3 linked regions of the Styela clava genome follow. Each later gene encodes a partner of the first gene's protein in a complex. Links are inferred from orthologs where the notes say so. Each region holds a gene or a part of one and is shown on either strand. Other genes may lie near its edges.

Region 1 (8,725 bases):
GAGGTCACCGAAGACCGAGTAATGTGATTGAAAGCACTACAGATGGATGTAAAAGCTGTTTCTAAAAATAAGCTGAAGATTTTTTATGAGATTTGGCAGGTAGTGTCACTATGATTTCCCGGGAAGCGACTGTTTTTTTGTTTTGTTTTATACTCGATATAAGTGATGCTGAATTTTACTTTTATGGGGAATGACTGACTTGCAGGTGCCGAAGTGGCAGGGGCCTATGACTCCTGGATATCCAATTCGAATTCATAAGCAAATATCGCGACCTTCGTTTTTTGTGTTTATAAGAATACCGAATATCGCGCACACGTCCTAGCGTTAATGTCCACGTTTTGATAAAAACGATTATTTTATTTTTTATCATATTCGAAGACAGCAGGCCTGGGCGGCGCGGCAATAAATTACAGCCAAAATCAGTGGATTTCAATTAGCACCGACTTGAAGTTTTAATAACTCTTCGAAATTGTTTTTGATTGAAATTATTTTACAATTAGCATCGTATATTCCAATTTCCATTTTTTTCACGTTGCACAAGACGCATAAATCATCATTGTTACAGGATCTGTTGAAGCTAGGGCAGTCCGGGTAACGATACTGGTGATTTACGATGGTCCACAGTTTCAGCTTCGTCCAAGATATGATTTTTGGGGAAATTGTGAGTAAAATATTTTGTTTCGGCTTTCGTGTTCATGTATTTGAGTATTGCTTCCTTATTGGACACTTGGTGGACATAATGATCGTTTCAACATTATGTTATTGTTTTTGTTTTTCTTCTCCGTTGTCATAATAAAATTGCTCTTCGAATACAGGACAAATTGCTTTGAAATTTTCAGTGGTTAAAGATTGCTTTGCCAGAAGACTATCACTTTCACTTATTTTAAAAATTTCTGTGAACCTCAAGAGCTTTCTTTTCTTGTGTGCAATATGTGTTGCAATAAAAAATAGCGACAACTTGTGGCGTTTCCATATATTTGAGCATAGCTCTCTTGTTTTTTATTATTATAATATGTAAGTATATCAAATCGAGGTCGTGAGCACTGAACTAAAATGACAAAATGAGCATGGACAGTGCACTAGCTAGCAGGCGTCTCTAACCAGAGACAATGCATAACAATGCGATGTGACATTCATGCTCTGATGAGGTATAACTACGTTTATCTCTGTGGAAGGTATGCCAGCAAACATCACGGGCGTAATAAAAATAGAAAAAATTAAATATAAGCTTAGTGATTGTCGAGAAACTTGATTAACAACAAATTTAATCAGTACAATTGAAGTTTTGGGAACAAATTTTGGCTCTGAAATTTTGTTCACACCTATGCATAATCGGGAGTTTGATGGTGTCTATATTAGATTGACAGAAGGCATTTTTGAAGAAAATAGAAGTAGCACACATTTTTATTCTATATGATAAAAAAATATAACTGAAGACATCTGAAATGGAAAAGTGCTTGAACAAGAATTATACTAAGACGCACTAACCACGTATTTTACTTCGAAATATCAGTGTAATACATCGACAGACTGGTCTTGTAATTGTGAAAACAAAAAGAATGCTTATGTACGTTTCCATTTAAAATTTATTTAAAAAAAACCCGCATACAAAATTGAATCACGGTCTTGGATTAATTGGCATAAAAAGCGAAATGGCAAAGAAGAAGCATCAGTATAATATACCGTCTAATTACCTTTACAGTATTCGTCTAAGGTGGATCCGAATTACAAAAATTGCACTACATTCGCCATTTTCTACCCTCTCATTTTTTTTCATAATACGTCATCTCAGCCAACGTCGCCATTCAGCTTCTTCTTTGCCTTTTGTTAGGTAAAGTAAATGTTCTGTTTTAATTGCTCGGCGGTGTTTCGCGCTGAGCGTTAGGAATACGCTCGCTACCGCACCTGCGTGGGTTAGCTGGTTCGAATCCCGCGCGGGATGAGAATTACCGTGTTTCCTCGAAAATAAGACCTAGCCCGAGTTTTAAAGATAAGACCTAGTCGATAGTGCGAATTTGTTTTCCTGGCATAGTCGATGGCAAGGAATCTCTCCTATACGTTTCAATAAATAAATAAATGAAAATTTTAATAAAAACGTGTTATTAATAAGTAAATGGATATCGGTTGTTGTCATATTTTGTATATTCGAAAAATCTCGTAATTCTCCACTTTGTAATTTTGTTTTTGATAAATGATAATAAAAGACATTCCCCAAAATAAGCCCAAGTGTTATTTTTCGGAAGAAAGTTAAAATAAGACACTGTCTTATTTTCGGGGGAACACGGTATATGCGAGGCGAGGCGCCGCCGCAGGCTGGTTCAAATAACCGCTGGTCAGTTACGACTTTCTCAACCATCAAGTCCATGTATCTGAAACAAATAACTTGTTATTAACTAATCTCATACCCTACATGGACCGGTAACCGGACAAGTGACCGTGTTCCGCAAGATGTTTGAGCCGTCTAATCGGCTTTCATCTCCCCGGGATAAATATAGAAATGTACTGATATCGGCATTTATTTCGGTATTGGTATATGTTCGGTATCGGCTAATAATATGCTTCCGATTCTGCTGTTCAATGAGATCCAGAATGTTTTTAAAATGAGTTGGCATCCGAATGTTGATATCTGAAACAATTTTTTTTTTGTGGAAGGACCATGTTCGCGGCCAACCTGCTGCACTGGAAACGGGTATTATAACGTCACAATATCTGATACTATGATGTTTTATCATCATTTGAACTTGTTTTTAGATTCCAATTATTATATACTAAATATAAATATAATCACTAACAACAGAATTTTATGAAATATATATATTAAGAAATGTGACCTTATGTATACTGAAGTTTTCACACACTGTACACATATGTACACGGAATTTATTAAGAACGCCCTCAATTCTTACTCGTTTTGAGCTATTCCTCATCCAAACTACCTTCCCAATTAATTTATCTATTTTCGCTACTAAAATTGTGTTATTTAAATATTTGACAATAAAGAAGAAAAATATCAATCAAATATCACAGTGAATTTCCTCGTTGTGTGAAAATAAAATTTGACATAAAATTGTCACAAAATTCTGCGTACGCCACTATGGGTATTGGTTTAATAAAAGTGGTAAACATTTATCGAATATACCATTACGGTAGACAACTTGGTATGAGTTTAAAACACCGCTATTCCCAGCGCCCGTGCAAAACGAAACGTCTGCAGACACCTATATTAATATGTAAAAGAAGTGTCGAGTCCATATTTGCATACGTGCAGATTTACAAGGCAATTTACGATGCAATTAATTAAAGTAAGCTATTTTGATATGCCTTCAGTAATGAGTCAAGTGACACTCCATTTATGCGTCTAAATATTTTTTATTTGTGTTTCAAGCTGAAACTCAAGAACATGCGTTAATTATTGTTACATATTATCGGTGATGTCGACACCTTGAAATTTATCTGGTCTTTTTCATAGTTTGCTTATCCCTTAAAACTATTTTGTTCTAGTATATCTGAACTTATACCTTTGTCTGGGGTAGACAAATAATTGTTTGAAAGCTGGTATCGTTTTAGCAACAATAATATACTTTTTTAAAATCAATCGCGAAAATATACGAGATAAATGTTGGGGTACAATTTATCGTGATAGGCACAGCAGATCTTGACGCAAGATACGATGAAGTGTGATGGAGAATTGTCCATCGATCCCATACCGCGACGATAATATACTGAAAAGCCAGTCAGCCAATCGTTTATTTGTCATCACCAACGACTACCGGTAAATAACTGCGCAGAAATTCATGCATCAAATAAATATACTGATACTCTTATTTGTGTGACCGGAGTCGAGAGGGTCCTCGAGATGTCTTCAAGCAGCGACACCTACATCGCTAGTACAGGTTGGTGTAAACTCTAAAGTCTAAGGAGTACAAATTTTGACTATGCAGTAGTTGTGATAGTGAACATATTCTCAGAAGAACAACCTGGTTATTGGAAATAAATAATAATGTCATTCCTAGTGAAACAATTTTTGCGAAACAAATAAAAAAATGAAAAGTAAGGGAGTCAAATTGACAAAATTAACATAAAAGATTTTAGAAGTAAGTTTTATATAATGATTAACACTTTACTAATTTATCGGATATCCTCTAGACGCGACTGTTTGTATCGTGAACAACCACAATATCGTATTTTAATAATTTTACATTTGAAAGAAATTTATTTAGACGCAGCAAATCATCACAGCAGACCGAAATTTTCTTCTCAAAAATCATGGATTTCATTGAAATTATTTCTTAGGTCGAAATTAGAAAAATGGGATAAAATCTTCTTATATCGGTATTAATTTTTTTTTTTGGGGTCCTAACCACAGTGTGACCTTTTTTGAAATATGAGTACAGAGAATAGTTACAACACTAGGAGCGATAGCGAGGCTCGCCGAAAATTTTTCGCCCGCTTCCAGATTTATAGGCCGGCCTTACCTCAGGCTTCCGTGTTCGGCGGGATTTTGGCGCATTGGATTTAAATTCAAACGTGATGTCGGTATTATTGTATATATACATATATATTCAAACATAGCTTAAATATGTTAAAAGTTTTAGTTTGATCTATACTGGCAATGAGGTACTTGTAATGCCCGATTCTGCGATTCGAACTTGTGATTTTAACGTTCTGCAGGTCTGACGTTAGTAAAACATTGTCAGATTGGTTAGTCAGTTAGTGGATGTGTAAAATCTGATAATAGGATACCTATACCGCAACAATCAGTTGTGGATTCCTGTGTTCGAAATACCTGAATACAGCACTTAAATAGCCTAGGATTTGTAATAGGCAGATAGGTGTCAATATTTGCTAATCATACAGTCGTATTGTTGTACTGTATCTAGTCAGGTAGGTATAAAAAATAGTCAGTTGTCTTAGGTACTAGCATAGAACAGTAGAATTACCATGGTCTAGCTCAGTAAAGAAGTAATAGTAGTAGAGTAGAAAAATCTGGATGTTGTGTTTAAAAAATATAGTAACTTAATTTTTTTTCAGGATTTTGTGTTTATTTAATTTGGATTAAAACATTGCTTTATTATTCTGAAGTTTTATATTGATTTAATGTAAGTTAAAAATAAATTACATATAACATCAACATTCAAAGGCAAAGAAAAAATGAACATATTTTAAAACAAATTGTTATTAGAAGTCATTTATTGAAAACTGCTTTTTTTGCTTGAAATCAATTTAATGGGAGTAATGGATTCAAGCATTGACATTGACACATTTCTTCGATCATTACGTGCTACCAAGCCACCATGGGAGTGTCCGAAATGTCAGAAGATTTATAAAAGTTACTCTGGAATGGAATATCATATGCTTAAATTTGATCATGATGCAGCTCCAATGACCCCAAGCCAGAAACCCACACCGTCAAATTCAAATCGAAAAGGACCTCGCTCAAAGTTTGCCATGAAAAAGAAAGGAGGACGAATGAGTGCTAATACACCTAGACGCTCTCCATCTCCTATTGGTTTTGCATCACCAGCCCGAGAGACTCTGACTTGGGCCGAAGCTCAAAGAATGGTTGAAGTTGAATCAGAAGGAAAAATTTATAGGTATATAACTTAAGCTTTTGCTGTGCTGAATTCACTTTAAAACAAAATGAAAAATGTAATCTATATATTTTGTTTCAACTTCAATGGAGTAAGATTCCACAAATTGAAAACATTTTTATGTATTAGACTGATGATTTACCTACCTTGAGTCTTGATTAAAAACTAAGATGTCTAGAAAAGATTTTATATCATGTATATTTTTTCTATTGCTTTTCGCTAGATTGGACATAAATGAAAAACTAGACGTCATCTCGGATTCTGATGTTGATAAAGATGATGACAGTAACAGCGGAAATTCATCAGACGGAAGTTCAGATACTCAAAATCAAGAAGACTCAAAGAAAAACATAACTAAAGAGGATGGAGGAAACAGTGGACCGGCAGGGAAGAATGGAAAAAGCAAAACGGGAGGGAAACCCGCGGTCAACAGCAAAGACTTGAAAAGTGTGACTCTTCCTATTCAACGAGATGGAAATTCAGCAGAATCAAAGCCAGTTGAACCAAAGCTTCCTGTACCATCGTTTCGCGTCGTCTCTGCGTATGGAACTGAAGCAGCTGATGCTCCAGAACGTCGTATGGCTTATTATCGATATATTGAAAGACCAGTTGAAGAATTGGCAGAGGAGGTAATTCATGTTTATTGTAATATCACCTTTATTATTGAAGAAAAGAAAGGATAGATTTGAGCACGAGTGTGCAATAGGCGGCCCACTGCCCACAACCCAGCCCTTGTCAACACTCATGATTTTCCCCAACCAGCATAAAATCTATTCCGACAATTAATGTTTCAAAATGTGCTCACAGATAAAATATGTAAGCATTAGGCGCTCCTCTTCTCTTGCCTTTCCCCGCTAAATTTTTTGTCTGTAACAGTGTGACCCGACTAGATCTCTGAAGTTAGTTATATGGCCCACTGACGAAAAGTGTTACACACCACTGGTATAAAGTATTTGTGACCATTCGAAATTTAACTATTTTTGAGAATCACTGGATGTGGTGCAGTTTGTTTGGTTGACCCGTATTTCATTATAACACGAATATTTATTCCTTGCTCCCGTGTCGTAATATGGTTGAATTCAGTCATGATAATATTGTTTGAAGCCCATCTATATTATGATAGTATGGTTTACTTTAATAATCTCCCTGACGCATTTTAATTTGGACTATTCTCTAATTTCTTTCAATTTTTGTTCATTCTAGGTTGAATATGATATGGATGAAGAAGACTCTGTTTGGCTCGAACTTTTGAATGAAAACCGAAAAAAAGAGTCATTGCAAATCGTTTCCGCTGATCAATTTGAACTTTTGATGGACAGATTTGAAAAAGAATCCTATTTTGAACAAGCAAAAAATGGGGATCATCATCGTGCACAACAAATGATTGACGAGGACGCCGTATGTTGTGTGTGTAATGACGGCGAATGTCAAAACTCAAATGTCATCTTATTTTGCGACATGTGCAATCTTGCAGTCCACCAGGAGTGCTATGGGGTCCCTTACATTCCTGAAGGACAATGGTTATGTAGGAGATGCTTGCAATCTCCGTCTTGCCCAGTTGATTGCTGCTTGTGCCCAAACAGAGGTGGAGCATTCAAACAGACCGATGATGGTAGATGGGCACATGTGGTTAGTAGTTAGAATATTGGTGTTAGAATAATCAAGAATTCAACATAATTCAAACTTTTGTTATTCAGATAAATGTTTGAATTTGGCACAATCATAAGTTTTACTGCACTGATGATTATGTGCATATATAATGTTAATTAACAATAACAAACTGCTCGAAACAGATTTTTGTATTGCCAAATTTTATTGATATGTATTTCTTTTAAAGCCAATTTATGGAATACTGTCCTAATATATGATTGATACTCGATGCAGTGTTTGCACATGAATATAATATACATTCATAAGTAAAGTAACCTTTAAAATCCTCTTATTGCCTATTTCGATTATTTTTGGACCTTATATTTGATCTCAGGTCTGTGCACTTTGGGTTCCTGAGGTGACATTTGCCAACACTGTGTTCTTGGAACCTATCGACGGATTGAAAAGAATTCCAGCTGCAAGATGGAAACTTTCTTGTTATATTTGTAAACAGAGAAATTCTGGAGCTTGCATACAATGTCACAGAACAAATTGTTACACTGCGTTTCATGTCACATGTGCTCAGCAGGTACTTTTCAAGGCTTTCGTGTGCTAGGAAAACTTCGTTTTTAATCACCTGGACTTTGTGATTTTTTTAATTTTTCTTTTCAATCATTACGCATATAATAGTATAGAAAGTGGATGGTTAGTAACCAGCTACTCTGGCATAACAATAATCTAATTTTCAAACGATTTTCCAAGGTATCTTCCACACCACCACTTATGAGCAGACACTCCAATATAGTCCTCGGCGCTATGGAGTCAAGCCAGAGTTTGGTATTTTAATCAATAGTTTATTTTCATGGGAATAGGTAGTTTGATTGAAAGTTCCCAGCTGATGCAGCACAATGCCTACAAGCTCAAGTGTTTTTATATAGTAAGAAACTGGAACGGGGGTTGATTTTTCGAATCCATGATTTGTGAGCTGGAGGCAGAACGAGAATTATAGTCAATTCTTACTGGACAAGTCAAGCGGGACATTTCTCAGAAATCACAGCCCTGTTATTGTTATATTGTTAATTACTATAGTCTGTGAAAACAGGGTCTTGAAAATTTCACTGATTTTATGGCCATGAATGAATTAACTTCATCATAAATCTGATATAGTTCGGGAGTTTTTCAACGTGCACAAATTTTTACTCTTTTGCGTGACTTGTTCTTTGTCATTTTACCTTTGACTATAGATTGCTTCCTCTATTTAGGCTGGTCTATATATGAAAATGGATCCAGTTCGGGAAACTGGAAAAAATGGAGTAACAGTCACAGTGCGAAAGGCAGCATTCTGCGATGTTCATCGGCCTGCAAATGCGACTCCTACTAAACCACTTCGAAATACATTCGAGTTTGAAGAAATGGATAAAGAAAGAGAAAAACAAGCTTTGTCTGATTCAAGAGAAAAAATGAAAAAGGCACGGAAGATTCTTGCAGAGAAGCGACAAGAAATGCCTCATATTGCCATTCCTTATATTCCAAGAGCTAAGTAA
Region 2 (8,167 bases), on another chromosome or scaffold:
CTGAAAATGATTTTAAAATGTTCCTTAAAAATTTAGTAACAAATATTGCTTTGCCACTTCCAAAAGTTGCACGTTTTATGGAAAAGACGCTTTTACTGCAAGAAATATGTGCTACGATCTGTCCTATATTCTCTACATTTTCGGCAATGACTTCTGCATGACGTCACAATTGAATCGAATCAGCTGTTAGCGAGCGGATGAATATTAGTTATTACTGCTCGACCTTGCGTTGAGTTGGGCAGCCTTTCCATAGCCCTGTTTAGTTATTGGACACGTAGTGGACATAACGATCGTTTCAATATTATGTTGTTGTTCTTGTTCTTTGACACGTTTTTAAAAAGTCGCTTTTTTCTTCGAATACTGGACCAATTGCTTTGAAATTTTCAGTGGTTAAAGATTAATTTTTTCGCTAGAAGGCTATTACTTTTATTTATTTCAAAATTTTGCGTGAATTCTATGAAATTTGATATTTCGTCTAAAATTTTGCTGTATCATTTTTTATCCATGGGAACACGGATTTTAGTCAGTGTCATGACTGGCTGTACGTTTTGATTCTGCAAAATTCTTGCTACTGGAAATTCAGAACTTTTTTGAGGGTACCGGTAGCGTCAAAGGTACCGGTAAGGACTGATTCGCTCTGGTCTGACGTGTCCATATATTTGTGCGTAGCTCTCTTGTTATTAGTTGAGTTATCCTGAGACGTTGTTTAAAAAATGTATAAGTAAGTTATTAAACACTTGCAGATCTTTACCACCGATATGGGCCGTGAGACGAAGCCTTGAAAACGCCCAGAAAATGAGTTTCGTAGCGCACATCTGGTAACTAAATAAATTCGTCAATTTTGTGTGAAAATGAACATACTGAACTCATTACAGCTTGTTCCACAATCCTGATGCAAAATTGAATATAAGAGGTTCCCGGAAATTCAATAACCATAAGTTTACAACACATACATAAAAACTATGCAATTCGAGAGCCCTACAGCACACTAACACAAATGTATTCCAGTAATGTTTTTCCTATCAAAATCGGACTTCCTCAGTCAATCATAATTTAATAGGTAGATTACGAAAAATACTTTAATTGTGTGACAGGAGTCGCGAGTGACCTCGAAAGCAGCGACACCAACAACGCTGATTCACATTAGCGAATAAATTTTATGTAATAACCACAAGCAGTTTACAACAAGAACAGCATAAAAAGCTACATCCTTTTTATAGAAGCTATCAAACGTAATCATTTTTGAGCAATGAAGTCACAAATTAACATCGTGAGCACGAAAACACAAATAAATCAGTTATTTCTCACTTAGAAATTTAACGGAAAAGTCAAGAAAATTAAATGAATGTACAATATGTACATAACATAGTGAACAGAAATATAACAATTAGTCTTTTTTCAGTTTATGTGGTTATGTATTTGAACAAAGGCAATATTATTTCTAGAAACAGAACTACGACACTAACAAATGTCCGAAAAAAAAATGATAGGCCCTACTTAATAAATCAACTGCAATATCTAATTCACTTTCCTCTGAATTGTTTTCGAAATCCACTCTCGAAAATCGACTTTTCCTATATAAGTGTACTGTGATTTTTGCAGTACAAAAACAAAAATCTGTGCAATTTAAGTTGATTTTGGCACACTTGCATAAATTATTTTGACTATTTTTCTTACACTTGCAGTTTGCCAACTCAAGAACTGATTTGAGGGCCACATGCTTCTTCAGTGAATCCTTATGTTTGTCAGTGTTAAATAGACATGCCCTGGCCCCTGGTATCATTTACATTCTTCATATCCCCATAGTCTACAGCAGGGGTTCCCAAATCCGGCCCGCGTAACAATTTAAAATGGCCCGCCGAACTTGAGTAAAACGATGTTGTTATGTCATTACCACAGTTTAAGCATGTGTTTATCGCGTAACAATTCAAATATGCCGATATCTCAATAATACGTACCGGTATTACCATGTTTCCCCAAAAATAGAACAGATTATTTCAATTTTCTTTCGAAAAATATACCTAGGGCTTATTTTCGGGGCGTGTCTTTTATTTTCATGAGTCAAAAAAAAATTACAAAGATTTTCAAATATAAAAAATATGAAAACCAATATCCATTTACTTAAATGGCACGTATTCCTCTTTCACACTTGTTAAATTAATCATTTACAACGTGTATGGGAGATTTCCTGCTATCGACTAGGTGCTACTGACTATACGTCTTATTTTACGGTGAGGCTTATATTATAATCATTCTTAAAATTCAGGCTAGGTCTTATTTACGGGATTGGTCTCATTTTCAGGGAAACACGGTAGGATTACAAAGAGCAGTAATTAAGTTATCAGCCATATAAGAAAGCTTACAGATGTCAAAGAAACAAACAAAACTAGACTTTACAAATAGACGTTTCCGGGATAAATGGTAGCTTTCATATTTTCGTATTGCAAAGAATCAAACTTCAGCGATTTGTCTTTCTTGCCAATGAAATATTCCAGTTCTGAAGGAATACGACATAAAGCGCCATTGTGAGTCAAACAAACAGATTGCAAAAAATGTCAAATGGAAGTGAATCCACTGAACCCCAGCTAAACCGCCGCGAACTTTCGGGCGCTAAACTCTTCCGGCCCGCGAACATTCTCCCGATTCTAAATTTGGCCCGCGTCCAATAAAGTTTGGGAACCCCTGGTCTACAGTGAACAAACAAATTCCTCAGCTTTATTTATTAATGCCTCATTAACCTCAAAAGATCTTCATAGTTGAGAAAAAATTAATTGAAAACCTCAATGAAGTCTCCAACATGAGTTTGATGGGCAGTTTCAATTGCAGAAAAGTGCTAAAGTATTTCAATATGAATAGCCCATCTAAGCTGTTTGCAACTATTATGATTCTCATATATCTATACTCTTCAAGACTTCTTGTTTAATCCATTTTATAGCACTGATAGCAGCAGGGATTAGAGCCTGCGTTAGGTCGGATTGGTGAAACATTGCCGTTTTCTTTTATAGTACAGTATCTAAAATGAGGAAGAAAATCATATTTGGAACAGCATGAGTGTAAAAATACCACTAAATACTAACTAATACCTTGAATACATAATGCATTTTATCTGATGTACTCAATGAGCGTATATATGCTCATTGCATGTACTACAGTCCAGCAGTGTTTGCATACCATTACTAGACTATATCTCCACTAAATTATGATATATCACAGTCTGAAATGCCCTATGACAGTATGAGTATGGACTATAGACTATATTTTAAAACATCAACTGTCTGTCTACAACTTGGTTTCTCACCTCTAAATCGTTTCCAATGCTACTTTCTTTCTTTCCTTCCCGGCATAACTTATCATTGCTTCCCAGGTTCTTGTCGACTCTATGAATTTAGATTTAAACCAACCGACATTAGTAAAATTGATTATTTTCTTCTCTTTCACACAACTGTGCATTACAGAAACAGCCATTAATTTCTATTTCCAAATATGCTGTGGCCTATATAGTAGTAGTATAAGTCTGCTGAATAGTCAAGAAGAGTCATTAAATTAATCATAAACATTTCACGTAAGCCAGAAAATATCGTTGTTTGTGACCTATTATTCTAGGTCTAGCCTTTCTTGGAGTTACCGCACCGTACCAATTTATCAACGTGTTATGAGCTAGTGCTCAACTAAAATTGCTATTTATGGTAAGGATATACAAGTGTTTAATATCTTGCCGTACTTATAGTTTTCAACACCTCTTTAGAATAACTAAACTAATAATAACTGAAAAAAACTATGGAAAGGTTACTGAACGCAAAAGCGAGCAGTAGTAGTACATCTGATATTCATCCGACCACTGGGGATCCACCTACAGCTGACTAATTTGATTGTTACGTCATGTAGAAGTCTGCGTTTATTGGCCCATGATACCGGAAAAGCAGAGAAAATAGGACAGATGGTAACACATATTTATTGTAGTAAAAGCGTCTTTTTTGTAAAACGTGCAACCACCTACAGCTGACTAATTTGATTGTTACGTCATGTAGAAGTCTGCGTTTATTGGCCCATGATACCGGGAAAGCAGAGAAAATATGACAGATGGTAACACATATTTATTGTAGTAAAAGCGTCTTTTTTGTAAAACGTGCAACTTTTGGAAGTGGGAACAAGGCAATATTTGTTACTAAATTTCTAAGGAACATTTTAAAATAATTTTCAGGTAGTTACCTTATGTGCGCTACGAAACTGAAAGATAAATTGCCTCGGCTCGCGGCCTAAAAAGACCCTATTTATTTGCATCTCTTCAGGGTAGTTATGAACGTTTTGTAGAGAGTTGCACTGTGAGATCCAAAACTATGGAATCAATATGTTTAACTCCTCTCAATTTGTTGTATAATCTTTCGCATGTAGTTCTGCCGACTCCATTTTTTTTATCTCGCAGGATAGGATTTTCAAATTTCTTCTGGAAAAGAGAGACATAGGTGTGGCCAGGGAGGGCGGTGGCCCCCATTTTTTTTTTGAGAAGCTATTTTACAGCATCTAAAGTGGCGCATAAATTTGTATGTCTCTTTGTCAACACCATTTTTCTTAGGCTCACTATCTATAATCCTTCATTCAAATGAACCAACCGGGATGAATGAAAAAACTTAGACAGCGAAGCAAGTTTGTGGAGATATTCTTCAATATGTTATGTTGTTAGATATCTGCTTTCATCTTCGGCAAAACGAGCCATCCTGTGGCGGCGGGGCACCTTGCACTTACCCAAAGTGTCTATAAGTGTTATAGTCACCTTGCACTCACCGTAATTATGCAAGACTCCTTACAACAGAATGGTATCAATTGAATTTTTGCGGCCGCCCAGACAGATATTCCAGCGTGGGTGAAAACGATGCCTCTTTTTTCAAGTGCAGTTTCAAGTATTCTGTGGCATCTGCAGCTGCCGCAAAACCATGGCGGTATTTTCATACCATGGCCGCTACGGCCAAACTCATGGCAACTGACTTTTTAGCTGCCACAAACCAATGTCGAGCTGCCGTCACCGCGGCAGGTGGGCCGTAAAGACTGGGCTGTCTATTATGGTGACAAATATTGGGTAAGTTGGAACGTTTTTCTTATGGATACAGTTTTGATTGATTTGGGGTTAGGGTTAGGGTTTAAGTAGATATAATTCCACATGATCAATTAAAATCTGGTACATTAATTTGTGAATATACCGTTAATACTGATTACTGAATAGCGCTATAAAACCATGGCAAGAGCTGCCGCGGTTCGTTCGTGGCAGGAGCTGCCATGAAGTGGTAAGAACTGCGCCTCTTTTTTTGTGATTTTGCGTATTAGTTTTCAGTTGTGTTTCCAAAAATTAGTTGTAAATCAAATAGTACCGTATAAAAGTCGTTATGCTTTCCACAGAGCTTTAGTTTAGTTGCAATAATCAAAAATTAGTCTCGAAAAAGCTGCGATGGTCTACCGTACCGGCACCGGTACGTACAGGCTGACAGGGCTAGGCTAAAATTAGATACCGGTATCTGTGAGCGGCACGTGGTTAATTGTTTTTAACAAAAATAATGCTTTTGAACATATAGGCCAGTCTAACAGTATAACAAGTTTATTTATAAGTGCAAACTCTTCAAAAAAAATCCAATTCAGCGTCAAAAAATTAGGGAGAATATTTTTGGGGCCACTGGGTCAAGGGTAGGGGAAAACCTCAATCGTAGAAGCTTATGATAGTCTATGTATTTTCAGTTTGACTCGACTCAACCCAACCTACCAATTTTATTCATTACTTGAAATATAATACGGTATCAGAATATAGGGCAATAATTCTGTTTTTTTTTAGGTCTATCATTGAATAATAGTGTATCGCATATATTTAGTCCATGAGTATTTAGGTATTATAAAAGTGTAATTTATTTTTGGCGAAGTAATAGTTTAAATACGAATGATATCAAAATGGGCAAACATAGGCACATATATGACAAAGTTATAAAAAATCATAATGCATAATGGGTTGCCACTTTGGTATGCGACCTCACTTGTTCAGTGTGATCTCAATTGTATACCAAAGTGGTGCTTCATTCAGACATTCTCATATATTTCAGCTCTTAACCCTAACTAGAATCACTGCTGCACTGAGATCACATAAATGTTGATAGATAGATAATGATTTATTTCCGATACAAGTACATAATACAATAAGCATGAGCAAATAACAATATTTGCTGTATAATATATGTTGAAATCCCATACCAATATAACACCCAATTTTCTTTGGCCATTATAGCTTTTGCTTCAATATAACCTAAATCTAGGTGCTTAGTCTTTCTAATTCAATAATTGATTCAAAAATCTGAAAATTTGGAGCAGGCTAATCATTTGCACTTTTAATTATTTGATATTTCATTTCTGAATGATTTTCATTTTAGCTTGGGTTAAACCTGCAAACCAAAGAACAAGATTTTCATATGGTAGTTAATATGTCATACAGTCATATGTCTTCTGTTTCAGTTTTCAATATGTCTAATAAAAACCAAGGATCCAACACCAGAGCAGAACTATCAGAGTTAGTAAAGCGAAAAGAAGAAATAACTGAAACTTTAGCAAATCTTGAGCGCCAAATTTACGCTTTTGAAGGAAGCTATTTGGAAGATACTCAACTCTATGGAAACATCATTAGAGGATGGGACAGATATTTGACAAATAATAAAAACACTAATAGCAAATCAGATCGTAGAAACAGAAAATTTAAAGAAGCTGAAAGACTTTTTAGTAAATCTTCAATCACATCTGCGGCGGCTGTAAGTGGAGTGGATTCTCGAAAAGATGGAGACTCTAGTTCAAGCAAAGAAAAACAATCTAGAGAAAATGGAGGAAACAAACTGTTAAAACGTTCAGATTCAAATGGCAAAATTTCCACATCGAGTGTTAAAAATAAAAATAACTCGGAAGATGGATATAGTTCTGTCAGTACCCAAGACTCTGCATCTGCAAGCAAAGATAAAAAGCGTAAGATTCGGCAGAACAAGGTCGACAAATATGGTAAAAAATCACGCTCTGGGGAGAGCTGATATTATTTTGCTGCCTGCTGTGGTTCATAAATTTGACTTAATTTCCTGAATTTATTGTTGACTGTGAAAAGTTTGAAAATACGACCAGCCAAAACTATTTAAAATTTAGGATTTTTCGTGATTAATCATATGGGAGGAACTCTCTCTATCTTGTCCAGTCACCATGTCAGTCAGGGGTCAACCAATCAATCTTTCCTTGGATGTTGGAGGAAAACCTACTCAGCCAATGTATGGATGCATGAACTCTATCGATGAGTCCAGAAAGACTTTGCATCCATCTATTTAACTATACCAGATTTTACATTGAATTTATCCTGATAGAAGTAGAAAACACATTCATTGCTTTTTGCTCTTATTAAAATTTCAGTCTGCAAATGTATATTTGCCATATTTTTTTTAATTGTTAATTTTAGAATATGGCCATCCCTGGTATTTCTGAAACTCTGTAAAAGCCACTCAGATGTACCGGTAGTACTACAATAACCTTATCAACATACCTTTGGTGTGTGTGACTGTGAGACGTGGATTTACTATTAACAATATAACAAACTGTACAATTGTTGGTAAGAAATCAATCTGAATTGAAGAATCCGGTTGATGCTGCATATTTTTATAAATTTTGTCCTTTTCATATTATCAATTGTGCCTGTGTTTCATTATCGATATTCGATGTTTTTGATTTATATAGTGACTAACATTATTAGATTGAGTCTAGCTTAATGCTCAGTTCTTGAAAATGACTCCTACAGATAAATCAAAGAAATCATACATGAACATTGTGAAAGAGTGGTTTACAAATTCATCGAAGAGGTAAGCTATGTGTTTGTGTGAATTTTCTATCTCTGCCAGGTTGTAATAAATTCGGTAGGCAATGCCGAACCAAGTAGGTAGATTACAGTCCTTCCAAACTATCATAGTTTCTTACATTTTAGTGTCCTTGTTCATGGAAAAGGCTGATGGGTCACCCAAAAAAATCTTCAACATAGCTGCGAAATTTGATTATAGCGCTACTTTGGACCATCTTGCAAGAAAATTCTATAAACATAAAATTCTTTTAATGAAAAATGAGTCAACATAGATGCATTCGTTAATTTGAAAGTTAATAAGATCTTATATTGAAA
Region 3 (7,758 bases), on another chromosome or scaffold:
CAGAGCAGAGTGACAGGTAGTCTTCAACAAAAAGATGAGCAAGTTTAAACTCTCGAAGTCTGACTGAAAAAAGTGCTAATTTTGTTTTGTGAAAATACTATCATCTTCATCTTGTTGCTAATTAGGCGTCATCCGTAGAAATACTTCGGATATCAGATGTTCGGCAATTCAAGTTGTGTGCGAGCGATAACTGTTCTATTTTGAATACTTCATTCAGAAATTGCATGGTTTTAGGGATTAATCTAATCTTTGTTTGCTTTCTTTTCTTCTTTTTTTCTTACTTTATCTTTATTTTTTTTTATCGTTCATAGGCACGCATAGGGTGCCAACCGTCCTTCATTTCAAAGGACAATCCTTTATTTGAGATTTTTGTCCTTGTCCTTTTTAAGATGATAATTGTCCTTTATTTTTTCCAACGTCGTTTTGCCCGATAGTTATAGTACTGTGTTTGATATTGTTTCGTTCTTTAATCGCCTCCGTTTCTGTATTTGCAAGCTTTTAATTATTCTTTTTAATTTCGCTTTGGTACGGCACAAATAGCCAATAGCCAAGAAATACCAATTTTATTAACAATTTCAAATATTTTACATTAATTTTCCGAAGATGGCAAGTGGCAACACTCCAAGATTTGAGTAAATTCTAGTTCAATAACTGAAAATTCTACGTATAATTGGTATCTAAGATTTTAGATTATTTCTCAACTCTGCGATAACGTATTTGGAAAAAAGATTTGACTCCGATGAAAATTTAACATTTGGAAAATTATCACTTTTGGATAATCTTTCTCCAAAATATCAGACCCTTGTAAAAATTGTAGAGCATTTGAAGCTAAAAAACAAACTTAATTTGAATATGTTTGACCTATTTGATGAAGTTGCACTCATTCAAAAAAAAATTTGACACGATTCAAAGCACTAAACTGTTCACAGAATGCAGCTTGAATGCAGGGTCAATGTTAAATAAACATTAAATGAAAAACAAATGGAGATTTTTTAGTATATATATCTTTTTAGCTTGTATATAATTTGTATTTCATTGTTTTATATTGTTCTTTCCTGTAAGTTACAAAATAAATGATGATGGTAATCTATGTTCTTTATTGAGAATTTTCATAGTTGGCAACCCTAGGCACGCATATAATTTTATTCGTGTCATATAGGCAAAATAGACTAGCTTACTTGGAAAACGTGTCACCAAATCGAAAAAGTTAGGTCATCTGACCGAAGTCAGGGTATTAGGACTGAGTTACCGGAAGAAAGGAATGAAGATAAGAAGCAAGTAGGCCAAATATGCGTGTATGATTTTTTGAACCTCATTAACCCCAGAAAATTCCTAACCAGAAAAAAATTAGCAAAAATGACTGAAGAATTCTGAAAAGTTGTATGAAGTACTCAAAGCTATCGACGGTAGGCGCATCGTCCCAAGCAATATGCTTGTCATGCGAATAATGAAAAAGTAGTCTCGCCACTTTCTTCTTCTTCGGGATAAATATGAACTTCTATCCTAATAAAAGTGCTCTTTGGGCTTTTGAAACTTTGCAAATAAGAAGCACGCTATGATAACAGTCTTGATGATCTCCCGTTCTGTCTGTGCGTCAAGTGAAATTTATTTTTTTCCAACCAGCAATAAACAATCGCATATAACATTCAGAAAAAAGCGAGATTATCATAAAATTTCACTGAGGAATCGAAGTCGCTGATATCCCACCTATGCACAACATTAGGCTGATATTACATAATTACTGTTTCAATTACCCTTATGTGGTTCTTATGGTTTATTTAATCAACTGTGAGTGTGATTAACATTTATCGATATTGCAATAAATTAATAAATTTGGAAATTTTTGATACTCCTACCACCAAAGTTTACGTTTGGGGGTTACCAAATTAATCCACTGATTTATATATATCTCATGTATTATCATTTATCATTCTGCAAACATTTCCATTCATTTTCTGCTATCCTATCTATGCACAACATTAGGTCTGGTGTTATACCACCCTAGTAACCCAAAACTGCTCCGCTAAGTGACTTTTGAAATTCATATGATGCTCCTTAATATAATTACATTTTCAATTACTGTTAAACGGTTGTTATGGATTATTTAATTAACTGTGAGTGTGATTAAAATTCATCGATATGCGATATCTTGATAGATTTGACCATTTTTTTATACTACTACCACCAAAGTTTACGTTTGGGATAGACTATGAATTATTGCAAGAATTGAAATGGTTTCTGGACTATTGTAACTGTCTCATATTTGTCTTTAATAAATCATATCTGCTTAAATTTGCATATGTCTATTTATGTATTATTGGAGTAGTATTTTTTTATTTTATTTTTTCATAGTGTTAAAATGATGTACTGATTGATTCTCATATATAGGCTCATTTAGAATTAAGTATCTATTTCGGAAACGCACTCCTCTTTTTCTACCATTAAATTAACTTAAAACAAAAACCACATTATGTTACTGTTATAAATGTGTCATTTTTCACAATAAATTCCCAACCCTGATTAGATGAATCCAAAATTTATCCTCGTTCTAATCAGATTTATCCTCGTTTTGTAAATAGTGTAAATAGTTCTCTATAAACTGAGAGTTAAATAAAAAAGAACCTGTGTCAATTTATGTATTTATTCATGTGTTGTATTGGATGGTAACTAACTCAGATGACCGTAACTGGTCGTATCGTTACCTCCCAGTCATACCGAAAACTTTTGTTTCACTTATTTTGTTATTATTATATTTTATATTATGTGTTTTCTGGTTGACGAAATAATAAATTCTCTCTCTCAAAGCGAGGGAATCGAGCAGCCACACCCGAGGTTCTAATATCGTATTAAAAAGATCTGGATTTTTATTCTCGGAACTACCGATGAGCACCGTATAATTTTGTCGAATTAAATACCTACGGTAATATATATTTCTAGAGATTGTCTTCAAGAGCCATCAGACCGCAGACGGACAGGGACATGAATATGTGTATATTTGAAATATTCAGTTATGTACGTACAATTTTAAATTTTTCTAATTCCAAAAAATATTGGAACTGTTGAGTGAAAATCCCATAAAAATTTTAAATTTCAACCAATCATACGTAAATATATACTACTAATTTCAACCAATCATACAATATACGATTTGTCGCAAGGTGGCGTAAGTAGGCCGCGTGTGTGATGATTTAAAATTTGCTCATCGTCTATTTGTGCCTGCAGGCGGGAAGGAAAATTTTTTATTTCTTTATTTTATTCTCAATACTCCGTATGATTATGATGGACAGGTGGTTTTTGTCTGTTTACTGAATTTACATTTCCACGCTGTGGTGTGTATCTTGATTTTTTAAAATTGTAGTTTATGTAGCTCAGTCACAAAATTCAGAAAATTTTAAAGTTAGGTACGGTACCGGCACCGGTACCCGCATTCCAGCATTTTATAATTCCGGTTCCGTTATTTCAGTATTCAGTTATTCTGAAATAATTTGAAATGTTTAGTTAGAAAACTTTTGTTATTCTGCCTGTCATGCTGACTCCCATACTGCCATAGCAAATACCGTACCCGTATGGCCCGGTACCGTACCGTACATAGACTATTTCTGTTTTTCAAGCTTTCGGCGAAATTTTGAATCAATTCTATAAAACTGTCCGAATGCATGGAATGTAAAAAAGTAAAATTGAAATCAGCATATAAACTGTATGAAGTCTGGGGGTCGAGAAGAACTAATGCAGCAATGGTTGACATTGTGGGTTATTTTGGGAAAATACTCATTTCAGTATTTTGATTTCCAATTCGTTTAAACTAATCGATACTGCGATACACAAAAACCAAATGGTTGGGTTCAACATAATTAAAATATTTATGTTAATTTACCGGGTCTGGTGTAGTTTCGTACCTAACGTACTTCTAGCAGGCGTAGCATAACAATTTTTTCACATGTCAATCCTAACCCCCACCCAGTACGGCACGCTATACAAATCGGGTGACAGTGTCCCGTTTCAGAGAAACCCATTTTACAGATGATCAGACGCCCCTTCTTTGGGAGACGTTTGGACATTGTTGTCCCTCAATATCGGTAATATTACAGTATAATGAAGTTGCGCGAAATACTACAAAAAAGCGCACTTTAGTAACGTCATCATTGAATTCCTGGGAAAAAAATAATCCGATTTTCCGAAGGAAAAAATTTTTTACCGTAGCATTCGAGAGTTTTTAGCAAAAAACGGTAATTTTGGTCATCTGACGGTCACGATTAATTTAGATTTTTATTGAGACAAGCATGGCACGATATGAAGCATCTGACATGGTCCCAGACGCTCCTCGTTTGTGAGACACATAGAGTGTTTGTTTTATTGAGCCAAATGGAGGGAAATTCTTGAAATTTGGATAGTGTGCTGTACTGCCACCTGACCACACCATCCAAAAATTACGTCACCACGACGTCACAGTGACGTAATAGAGCCCTTCAAATTATGCGGACTGTCATCCAAGACGCGCAAACGACTGTTAGGAGAGAGATCGCTGACGTTAGTCAGTTCTTTATCGTCGGCGCCGATGCCATTTCGGGCGATCGTACGAGTATTTGACAAGCTCTATGACGTGAAACTACACGAGACCCAATTTACCCATACTGGCATACAAGAGTCGATGGTCTGACATTACAATATTGTAAAAAATAGGAAATCAATTCAATCTGTACTGATGTATCACAATCACTGAATTATTTTGCAACTGATTCACCGTCCCAGATTCAATTTTCACAAATTTATGGAGATGAATACTGGAGTATAAATTCATTTGTTCAACGTCATTCAATTTAGTGATTGAGAATATATTTCATTTCGGAATAAATATCATATATTATTCGATTATGGTATCTCTTTTTTCATGCAGAGTTTCGTATTTGAAGAATTATAGATGAATTACCAGTACGACACAGTTCCTTAATTCCAAGAATAGCCTCCACATTAAAAATCAATTTAAACAATGAGTACAAACTCCTTCTTTTCAAGACAGTCTAGGCCTCCAAACACGCACTGTGCAACAAAACTAAATAAATATAAGCGCAATCTAAAAACATTAACGTTGGATTCTTAAAAAAAAGTCGAGTTTTTAGCAAAAACTGCAATTTTGGTCATGTGACTGACGAGGCACGTTGCGTTTGATTTAATTTAATATCGAGACAACAGACGAGCATGGCACGATCTGATGCATCTGCATTCTATGCGTAGTTTTGTATTTTTATAACTATCAATAAATTTTTTTTTTCAACTTTATCATTTTATTTTATTATCAGCTAGAATAATATATAAAGTATCAAAGATGGCTACCGCAATGTATCTGGAGCAGTATCTTGACAGTCTGGAAACATTACCTGCTGAATTGCAAAGAAATTTCCAACTTATGCGTCAGCTTGATGAAAGATCAGAAGAATTAAAAGTAGATATTGATAATCTAACGATGGATTATGTAGAAGAAGCAAAAAATCTACCACCAGATGTCAGAGTTGAGAGTATCAAAAAAATTCAAAATTCTTACGCTAAATGTCGTGAGTTTGCTGATGACAAGGTTCAACTTGCAATGCAAACGTACGAAATGGTTGACAAACATATCAGAAAATTAGACTCGGATCTTGCAAGATTCGAAGCTGATTTGAAAGAGAAATCTATTCATGATTCAAACGTCGCTGGGACTTCGAAAGCTGATACAGACAGCGGTCCTTCAGATAAAAAGCGTCGCAAGAAAGGACGAGCCGCGAACTCCGAGGACGAATCAAAATCGAGCAAAAAGAAACATAAATCCGGACTAGATCAATCATTGTCTTCTGTACCTCTCGTCTCTGGAATATCTGCGTACTCGAGTTCAGATGTTCTAGATATGCCTGTTGATCCAAATGAACCAACGTATTGTCTTTGTCACCAAGTTTCTTATGGTGAAATGATTGGATGTGATAATCCAGATTGCCCCATCGAGTGGTTTCATTTTGGTTGCGTTAATTTAACATCAAAACCAAAAGGAAAATGGTTTTGTCCGAAATGTCGTGAAGAGAGAGATAAAAAGAAACGATAGCTTTTATTTTCACCGAGAAATTTTAAAAATTACTCACTGGTAATATTCAAACGTAAATGTTTTTATGTTCAAAACTAAACTCACTGCCAGTTTTCATAGGCAGTTTGTTAGTAATTATTTTTCTATATTATCTGATAACTGCCAGTGGGTATTAATATTTAGATTTTGATTACTAGTCAAAAATATTTTGTATCAAGGCAACAATATTTTCAGAAATGATAAATATAAATTAACTAAAATGATTCATCCTGATATTCTGAGAATCAAATGCTCCGGATTCGAAGCTGTGTTTTCTTGAGCAAGTTTCCACTTCGTAATTTCACATTTTGCTATTTTGTCAACTTCCACTGCTCCACCACATTCATAAAAAAGGTGTATTCAAGTTGACTGTGTCTTAAACCGTGAGATGTAAAGAGCTACAGTTAATTGCACTTTTGGCGCTTGGTGGGTGCTGGTGAACACTGATTCTAATGAGCTGCTTTGTTCTTCGCTGAATATCTAAGTTCTCTGCATCATTATTTTATTGTATTTGTTGATTTTCACCCAAGGCAAGGCCGAAGATGCTGGAAAGAAAAAGCTAACTTAAAATGTCTAGAAGTGAGATGCAAATAGCTATTTCTTTTGTTTAGTGCTTGCTAGACGATGGTGAAAAATCATTTCCGTTAAACTGCCAAGTTGTTTTCGAAATATATGTTTATACTTGAATTGAATTCATTTATCCCTTGCAACATTTTTTATTGTATTTGTTGATTTTCATCATATATAATATCTTTATGTCTCATTGTTTTTGATATTTTCTCAGCCATAACATAATTTAAGTGATAATAATTTAGTGTAAGGAACAATCGAAATGGCTGATGTGCTAGATCTACATGAAAGCGGAGAGGAATTCGCCGCAGATGAGGAAGGAGATGTCGGAATTGAAAGATTGAAAGATCGTGCGAAGCGCAGAAAAGGTCGTGGAATTGGGGATTCTGAAAAAAGAACTGAAATCAAGTATGAAGCAATGGAAAGTGATCAAGATGGGCCTGGACCTCAACGATCGGTTGAAGGCTGGATTTTATTCGTTACTGGCGTGCACGAGGAAGCAACGGAAGACGACATGTTCGATAAATTTGGAGAATATGGAGAATTAAAAAATTTACATCTAAATCTTGACAGAAGAACCGGATATTTAAAAGGATATGCCCTCGTGGAATTCGAGACTTTTAAAGAAGCACAGGCTGCTCTTGATGCATTGAATGGGAGTGATTTACTAGGCCAAACGATGTCAGTAGATTGGGCTTTTGTTAAACCGTCCCAAAAAGATAGGCGGGACCGTAGGCATCGTCGTCGTTGAAAATATTAAAACGATAAATCTATGCTCGATGGTGCTGTGTGTAGTAATAAGACAAATCTGCTCAATAAACTCAAACTAAAGGCTACACTATGATCATGCTTGTCCTTTCAAGTTTAATATTGAACTGAGCGTTTTTCCCAACTCTGCTCATTATTTAGGATATTTTAATCTGTTATAATTGATTTTGGAAAAAACGTTTTGTTATAGTATCTAAATTCCAGGATTGAAAATAGTTGAGCTAAATATGTGCTGCTTCATTTTTTCTATCTCTGCCCAGATTTTAGGATGCTCTTAGCAATGACGATCAGGTCTCAATTTTTTTTCTTTATTTGAAGTTCTGAAATAATGT

The links.
Region 2: peregrin-like (region 1) and uncharacterized protein LOC144411641 share a complex: the UniProt entries of both Drosophila melanogaster proteins name them as parts of the enok complex. The link is inferred for Styela clava from reciprocal best matches to the Drosophila melanogaster genes Br140 and Eaf6.
Region 3: peregrin-like (region 1) and inhibitor of growth protein 5-like share a complex: the UniProt entries of both Drosophila melanogaster proteins name them as parts of the enok complex. The link is inferred for Styela clava from reciprocal best matches to the Drosophila melanogaster genes Br140 and Ing5.

What each region holds. Positions count from the first base shown.
Region 1 is NC_135258.1:15,525,975-15,534,699, reverse strand, and holds the start of peregrin-like, read left to right. Parts: upstream 1-5,066; 5' UTR 5,067-5,226; coding exon 5,227-5,594; intron 5,595-5,814; coding exon 5,815-6,220; intron 6,221-6,794; coding exon 6,795-7,220; intron 7,221-7,575; coding exon 7,576-7,770; intron 7,771-8,443; coding exon 8,444-8,721; intron 8,722-8,725. UniProt on the Drosophila melanogaster protein: Scaffold subunit of the histone acetyltransferase (HAT) Enok complex which has histone H3 acetyltransferase activity.
Region 2 is NC_135251.1:16,251,850-16,260,016, reverse strand, and holds uncharacterized protein LOC144411641, read left to right. Parts: upstream 1-4,956; 5' UTR 4,957-5,074; intron 5,075-6,486; 5' UTR 6,487-6,494; coding exon 6,495-7,046; 3' UTR 7,047-7,084; downstream 7,085-8,167. UniProt on the Drosophila melanogaster protein: Component of the Enok complex which has a histone H3 acetyltransferase activity. Might be involved in transcriptional activation of selected genes.
Region 3 is NC_135251.1:10,587,568-10,595,325, forward strand, and holds inhibitor of growth protein 5-like, read left to right. Parts: upstream 1-5,280; 5' UTR 5,281-5,323; coding exon 5,324-6,070; 3' UTR 6,071-6,872; downstream 6,873-7,758. Other genes in the region: RNA-binding protein 8A-like, read left to right, coding at 6,921-7,409. UniProt on the Drosophila melanogaster protein: Component of the Enok complex which has a histone H3 acetyltransferase activity.